2 linked regions of the Oryctolagus cuniculus genome follow. The protein of the gene in region 2 purifies or fractionates together with the protein of the main gene of each other region. This does not show direct contact. Links are inferred from orthologs where the notes say so. Each region holds a gene or a part of one and is shown on either strand. Other genes may lie near its edges.

The links.
Region 1: the proteins of TMPRSS6 (region 2) and HJV purify together in Homo sapiens (co-immunoprecipitation; 3 studies listed by IntAct). This does not show direct contact. The link is inferred for Oryctolagus cuniculus from reciprocal best matches to the Homo sapiens genes TMPRSS6 and HJV.

The regions. Positions count from the first base shown.
Region 1 is NC_091438.1:48,868,672-48,872,576, reverse strand, and holds the start of HJV (hemojuvelin), read right to left. Parts: upstream 2,418-3,905; 5' UTR 2,172-2,417; intron 915-2,171; 5' UTR 826-914; coding exon 729-825; intron 369-728; coding exon 1-368. UniProt on the Homo sapiens protein: Acts as a bone morphogenetic protein (BMP) coreceptor. Through enhancement of BMP signaling regulates hepcidin (HAMP) expression and regulates iron homeostasis.
Region 2 is NC_091442.1:114,169,298-114,173,102, forward strand, and holds part of TMPRSS6 (transmembrane protease serine 6), read right to left. Parts: intron 2,621-3,805; coding exon 2,487-2,620; intron 1,788-2,486; coding exon 1,720-1,787; intron 1,314-1,719; coding exon 1,129-1,313; intron 951-1,128; coding exon 909-950; intron 1-908. UniProt on the Homo sapiens protein: Membrane-bound serine protease. Through the cleavage of cell surface hemojuvelin (HJV), a regulator of the expression of the iron absorption-regulating hormone hepicidin/HAMP, plays a role in iron homeostasis.

The sequences.
Region 1 (3,905 bases), on a different chromosome or scaffold from region 2:
AAACTGGCCTTCGTAGTCGCAGGGGTCTGGGGTTGGGGGGCCAGGACCTGCTCCTGGAAGGGCAGGGCCGCGGGGCGGGGGAGGAGCCGTAGGGCCCTGGCGGGAGCAGTTATGCTGAATCATGAGATCCTCGATGCCGTGCACGGCGGAGTGGAAGGCAAGATCTCCGCGGCAGGTGCGGGCCGTGCGCCGAGTGCAGAGCGCGTAGGAGCGCAGCGCCCGACAGAGGCCGCCGGAGCCGGCTCCTCCTGCTCGGCCGCCGCTGCCGCCGCCCCCTCGAAGCCCTCCTGGCGAACCCCCACTTCTAAGGCTCAGGGTGGACGATACATACTCAGCATTGCAGCGGAGGATCTTGCATTGCGAATGAGCTGAGGACGGAAGGGAGCAGATTGTGAGGCGGTTCCCACATCCCTGCTCGAAGAGTCTCCTCCTAACTTCCAAATCTCATCAGGAGATTCCAGTCGTTCCTAAAACCTAGCCAAGCCCCTGCTCTCCCCCTCCGCCCCCTGGTCCTGTCCTCCCTCAGTCTTATTAAAGTGTGTGAGCCCACATGGTCTCCTCTGTCCACCAAGCTCTTCCCAGGGCCCTTCCCCAAGTCCAGTGGGACATGAAATGTCCCTGAGAGTAGGGCGGGTGCCTGGTACTGCCCGCAGCCGTTCTGCCTCAGGCACACAGGCTCACAGGCCCACCCCTGGGGTCTCCCAAGCCCTTCCCTGGCCGTTCCTTACCATGTCCACAGAGGAGCAGCAGAAGAGTGAGAGTGCTTAGAGTTGGGGGACTGCCGTGGTGGGGCCGGGGACTACGGAACTGGCCTGGATCCCCCATACCTATACAGCCAGGTGCCCCCAGCCCCGATTCTTCCCAGCTGATGGCCCTCCTACCTAGTGAATTTTGACCGGCTGTCCTGTAAGTGACTGAAAAAAAGAGAAATTTGGCTGGGCATGGAGAAAGAGAAGAGTTGAGGATTGGTCAGGATGCTGTGAAGAGAATCTGGGGAGATCAAGGAAAGGATGAGCAGTCGGGTTTTGGAGAGAATGGGGCTCCCCAAACTATAAGTGTGGCAGATGAGCTCTGCTCCTATGGTCACTTCCAGGTCCCTTGTGCAATACCCCCAGGTGGGGGTGGAGGGAAGGTTGAGTGACCTCAAGGGGGCAGAGTCCACATATTGCCCCATCTAGCACTACCAAACAGCAGCTCTGTCAAAAATGGAGGACTTGTGGAGGCAGATCAGTTCTCAGCTCCCCCGGGGTGGGGCTGGGGGTGGAGGGGTGTTCCCCTGCAGATTTCGGTTCTAGAAATCCTGTAGCAACACGCCCCTGAAGCGTCTCTCCCCACTAGAAGGGGCCGCCCTCCGGGAGTCGTCCATTTCTTTTCCCCTTTGGTGTCAGAAAGACAAGAAGGAGCACAGGGAGGATACCCTTGCCTTCTAGAACCTCTGTATTCCAATGAGAACAGAATCAATCTCTCATCCACTCAGGGGAGCTGCAGTCCTAATCCCCCTGTCTTAGAATAACAGGATGCAAAACCAGGCATGCCAATCAATGTTTGCTTTTTCTGAGTCAACAGTTGCTATTTTCCCAAACCTAACTGAAGAACCACTCTTTTCACTAATCTCCCCTTTGCAAATTTGAAGTTCTCAGTCTTTTGCTGAGGACAGGGGTTAGGGAAGGGCCAGCTCTCTCGTACCAAACTTCTCTCTTTTGGACTAATGAAACGATTTGGGAAAAGAGTAGGTTGGAGGGAGCAGAGTTGTGGGCAGACGTCATATATAAGACAAGGGATAGCTTCCACCCTTGGAAGTCCAATGTGAAGGGCATTGCTAAGTAGGGACAGGGTGCAGGCATGTCAGTGACTAATCATCTAGGTCAAATTTGGCCACAATGAGAAAACTACAGAATAGGGGGGTGGGCAACTCCTCCAAAGACTGCATTACAAGTCCTGGGGTAACAAGGCAAAGACTGCCAGACACAGACAGAGGATTAAACTTCAAATGGCCAGAGGTTAGATGCTAGAAAGAAGTGAGACTGAAAGAAATGGAGATTGGAGCACCTTGGTATAGAGAGATCCTAGCTTTTGGACCAGAGACATCCAAGGCAGTGTCTGTAATTTCATAAAAGTCTAACTTCAATCCAAGAGCTTATGAAAGGAATTGCAATTGCGTTTTAACTTACTGTTTCCAGAGGTCAAACATTACTCTGATATCCAATTCTCCAGCCATGGCTGCCTACTCTGTCAGTCTGCTCCAGCCAGGGGGTCCCCCGTCTCTTTCTCCATGTCTCCCCCAGCTCCCCAGGTCGGCTGCAATCTCCCTGAGGTCAGGAAGCCAGGGAAGGCTTGGTGTGGGGAAAAGGGGAGTATGTGGCTGGCGGGAGCATTGGACAGCTGAGCGGGGGAGGGAGGTGGCTACTGAGTTGACTGTTTTAAAAATAGCTAAGTCCAAAATTCCAGGAACATTGGTGGGGGTAGGGTGTGGGAGTGGGGAGGGTAGAAAGATTAGAGAGAATATGAAGTATTGGGTGCCAAGTGGGGAGAGTGGGAGAAATATGACAGCAAAGTCACATATCCAGTGCTTCTCAGGTCACTCTATGGTCGCTGTCTACTCCAGGCAGCCCTTTGGCGTTCTCAGCAATGAGCTCTTGACCTTTAAGTATTGTGGTGTGCAATCGGATACCTCTCACTTACTTCCCTCATCCGTGCTCTTTTGAACATTACATGTAGTTTCCACATAGAGTATCTGGAAGGTCTCTGACTAAGGAAGAGCCATAGCGGAGGTGGGTCACAGCCCCGCCCCCACCTTTGCGGAGTGTTCCAGGAGGACTGGCAAAGCCAGCTGTCCAGAGAAGAAATCTGAGCTTTGAGTTGTTTTGGGTGAGGGTTTGTTCAGTCTCCTCAGCTTGGATCCTTGCAGCTGTCTGTCCCTACCTCCTCTGTTTTCCATACCTTCGTTTGCACAGAAGTTCCTCCTCCCTCTCCCTCATGGGCACACAGCAATGCAAGCTCCTGAGTTGCTGGGAGAGAAGCTAACAAAGGCAAAGAGGAAGAGAAGGAATGGAGGTCATAGGAGAGGAGCAATTAGATAAACTGAGAGAAAAGGAGATCCTGAAATGTGCTTTCGTGGAGCAACATAATCTTGTGAGCCTCTAAGACTCGCGAGCATGGAATTTAACCATGTCATGTTTTGACAGCCATAGGAATATCTGGGATCACCATCTTAAAAAAAAAGTGTAAATGCCTTTGTATTTATCTGTGAGGCAGAGATATGGAGAGTTGTCATCCACTAGTTCACTCTCCTACTGTCTCAACAACGCTGACTGGGGCCAAGGCTTGAGGCAGGGAACCCAATCCAGGTCTCCCATGTGGGCGGCAGTAACTGAGTCACCTGAGCCATCGCCTGCTGCTTCCAGGAGCAGAGCTGAGTGCCAAACCCAGGCACTCTGGTATGGAATGCGGGCATTTTAACCACTAGACCAGACTCCCAACCATTCATCCTCTTAACATCTGCCAAAGGAAATTAGCACAAGGACTGATTCCAAATAGTATCACTACGGCATCTATACCCATGTTCTTTTTTTTTTTTTTTAAAGATTGATTTATTTATTTGAAAAGCAGAGTTACAAAGAGAGGCAGAGTGAGCGAGCGAGCGAGAGAGAAAGATCTTCCATCCGCTGGTTCATTCCCCAGAGGGTCACAATAGCCCGAGCTGCACTGATCTGCAGCCAGGAGCCAGGAGCTTCCTCTGGGTCTCCAGGCCATCTTCTACTGCTTTCCCAGGCCACAGCAGAGAGCTGGATCAGGAGTGGAGCAGCCAGGACTCGAACCGGCCCCCCATATGGGATGCTGGCACTGCAGGTGGTGGCTTTACCTGCTATGCCACAGCACCGGCCCTTATACCCATGCTCTTTACA
Region 2 (3,805 bases):
GATGGATAGACAGATAGGCACACAGACAGAAGAATTTCTTGTTTCTTTATCGTTCCCCCCGGTCCCCTCATTAGTGAGTTAATCCTACTCACTGTCCCTGTCTGAGTCACGATTTGACTTCTTGTTCGTTGTACTCTGACCTCACTGCCTGCACTCCCCCAGGAAGCAAGCATGCGACAGCAGCGCCAGGAAGAGGGAGGTCAGAGAAGGCAGAAGCAGGGTGCAGGCGCCCCCCTGGGATGGGCTGGAGGTGCTCACCTGTGCCACAGCCCCCCACAGAACTCCCAAGCGCGGGGAGGAATCTGAGGGTTTGGGGGCTTGTGCTTAGGGCTGTCAGGTACAGCAGCCCAGGTGGTGCACTGCACAACTCCTCGGGCCGCATGGACTGCGACGTGGACAGCAGGGTGGCCCTGCCGGTGTTTCGCAGGAAGACACTGAGGTCTCTCGGACGAGAGCAAAGTGACCATAGCAACACGGCATTGGGCGGGAAGTGAGCAACCTTGCAGGTGACCCAAGTGCACCTCTGAAAGACCAAGTCTGAAACCCAGAGTGGCTGACGGGCTGCCCGTTGGGGAGACTATCGGTGGCCTGCAGGCAAGTTGGATTCGACGGTGGAAAAGCAGATTTAGGTTCACCTGTGATGGAACCTGCTACCTGCGCTCACACAGGCAAGACTCACACACACACATGTGCACACATGTGTCCACACGAGAGCACATGAACACACATGCGCATCCACACACGGGCGCCACACCCCCTCCGCTCGCTCAGCCCCTGCTTCCTCCCCTGGGTGACCCCAGGCCGGGCTCCTGCCCCAGCTCAGGGAGCCCCCTGGCCTCCCAACCCTCAACCAAGCCAGGAAAGACGCCAAAGCCAAAGGCAAGCGGGCGGGAAGCCGAGGCGCGTACCCAGCGTGGAATTCAGCGCTACTACGTCTTTCACACTGGCCTCTGTCAAAAGGAAACGGACAAAGAAATCAACAAGGGCAAAATAAATGCACAAAGAACAGGCCACACACACGAACGAAAACGGAGGAGACCGCCAGAGCTGCCGGGCCTGGGCACGCGCCCCGCGCCCCACCCCTCCCTCCCGCCCCCGCGGGGAGCGGGCCCCTGCCCCGGTACTGACCCAGGATCACCAGCCCCTCGGGGTCCACCTCGTACTCCGCCCTGTAGGGAGCGGGCGCCGAGTCATTGGCCGCCGACAGCAGCTCCTCCACCAGCAGCGCCCGCACCACCTCGGGGCTCAGCGTGGGCCGGCGGCGCTCCGGGATTTGCAGAATGAACCAGAAGAAGCAGGTGAGGGGTCCCTCCCTAAGGCAGGCGGCAGTGAGGGGCCCGCGGGCGCTGATCTCCCTCGCGGGAAAGCCTCCCCCCAGCAGCCTCCGCGGGAGCTGCTCTCGCCACCCCCATTTTACAGGGGGAAGTTGAGGCACGGCTGTGAGGCTAACCTAGGCGGCAAAACGCTGGGCCCCATGCTCTCAATGCCCCCCTCCCAGTGCATGCCGGGCCCCTAACCAGCCCGCTGTGGTCGTCACCCAGGGTAAACCCTGCCACAGTGCTGTGCCCATTACACAGATGAGAAGACCAAGCCCGATGGAGGGAGGTCACCGGCTGCAGCCAGGTCTCTTGCCCGCGCCCTTGGAAAATGAGACAGGTCCCCTCCCAGGGCTGATCTGAGGTCCTGGCAGGGGCCAGCTGTTGCCTGGGGACAACGTACCCAAAGGAGTAGACAGAGCTGGAGTTGTAGTAGGCGCCCAGCCGCGTGCTGGTGATGAGTGCCTTGAGCTGCCAGAGGAAGACCAGAGCCCCGTGACCCTCTGTGGCGGCACCAGCCCCCCCCACCTTGGGGTGCACCCTGGGGAGCCCCAGGGGAAAGGCCAGCCAGGTCACCAGTGGTCAGAGCCCGAACCAGGGGCACCTTCCCCTCCCCCACCTCCATCCTCACCCCCGAAGGCCGACGGCCTCTCTCCCCCTATCAGAAGCCCTTCTTCCACTCTGAGCAGCCCCCCGGGCCACAGGGCCCCCCTGCACCCACCCCTGACCGCCCCAGGCACGGCCGGGCCACGGTGATAGGGAGCCCGGCTCGGGGGAGGCTTTGCCCCTGTACAGCTACGAGGCGGCACATCCGGGAGCCTCCTGGAACTGCCTGGAAACCCTGGCCACCGTGTCTGCTTCCAAGCCTGCAGCCAGGACACGGTGCACAGCACCCTCAGAGCGGGGTACTGACCCACCCTGCGCAGCTCTCCAGGCCGCCTTGCTGGACGGGGCCCTGGCACAGGCGGTGGCTGTGTCACGAGGCACGCGGGGCCCCCAGCAGAGCCAAGCTCCGCCCTCGGGAGTGACACCGGCAGAGTCTAATGCAAGTGCCTTGGACGCAGGTCCACTCGCTTTCCCGTCCCTGTGCCATGTGGCCCCAGTGAGTGCCCCGCCTCCCCCAGGGGGCCCCACTGACCACGCCCAGCCCTGCGCGCGCCCCTTCCCTACCATGTTCTGGGCCTTGGTGGTTTCGCTGCGGAAGGCGCTGGACTCCCTGCGGGCGAGGTCCTGGGAGAAGTGGCGGTTGAGCACCCGCAGGCTGCCCACGTACACCTGGCTGACGGTCACCTCCGCCCTGTACCCTGGAGGAGGGGCCACCGGGTTGAGTGCGGGCTCAGTGGGCGGGGCTCAGTGGGCAAGGCTCCTGGACTCCCACGCCGTCTGCTGCCACCCAGCCTGCCGCCCAGCCTGCCGCCCAGACACCATCGCCATCCCCATGAGCGCCCTCCTCCTCCTCACCCCTGTCGTCATCACCGTCATCATCCAGACTGGCACCAAGGCCACGGAGGACGTCAAGGCCAGGAAGCCTCAGGCATCCAGGAGGCCCAGGCCCCATTCAGCCCCTCTCTCCGACCTCCCTCCCTCCTTCCACAAGCGGGCGCTAACCCACCTGCTACGCAGGCCACCCTGGTCAGCTATGACAGCCACGCCTCCCCTGGTGGAGCCGAGAGTGCTGGGTAAGCAGGTGTCGCGCCAGCAGCCCCACAGCACGTGGGCTGCGTCTGGGACGGCTGCCCCCCGAGGAGCAGCGCAGGGGCCATGGCACCGGAACAGGCTGACCCCACAGTGCCCCTCCCGCTGAGATGTGAGGACTGCGAAGGTGTGAGAGCCTGGGAGTGTGGGGACTGACGTCAAGCACTTGGGAATACATCACTAGAGCGGTGAACAAGTTTGTAGTCTAACAGGCAGGAACCACTGCCTCTCCCAGCTACAAGGCGCGTGCTGTGGAGGGGAGGGTAGCACGGCAGAGGCCTGGAGTGAAGATGACGCTGTCGGGAGGTGTGCCTGTGGGAGGGCCAGACCGAGGGAGTGGCAAGTGCAAAGGCCCTGGGGCAGGAGTTTGCCTGGTGAGTTTGTGAGCAAAAGGGAGAACAGGAGGAGAGGAGGCGTGGGGAAGGCGGAGGCCATGCAGGGCTTTCGAGCTCTGAGAGGACTTGGGTTTGACTTTGAGTAAGAAAGGAGCTGTGGGAGAGTTGAGAAATCAGAGAACCGATTTGCTTTATAAAATGGCCCGTGACTCTCGTGTCGAGAAAGGGAGCCCTCCAGGCGAGGGCGTGGAGCCGCGGGGAGGGCGAGAATCGATGCATTAGGGCACGCTGGGGAGTCGGAGGCGGCCCAGCCCGGGTGGGGCAGAGAGAGGCCTGGGAGAAGAGCCAGAGGAGTCGGGCGCGCGGTGCAGGCTGGGGAAGAGGGCGCACAGCGTTCTGAGCTCTCGGAGGCCCTGGTGGGAGTCAGCGGCAGCAAGGGCAGGACAGCGGGTGGGGGTC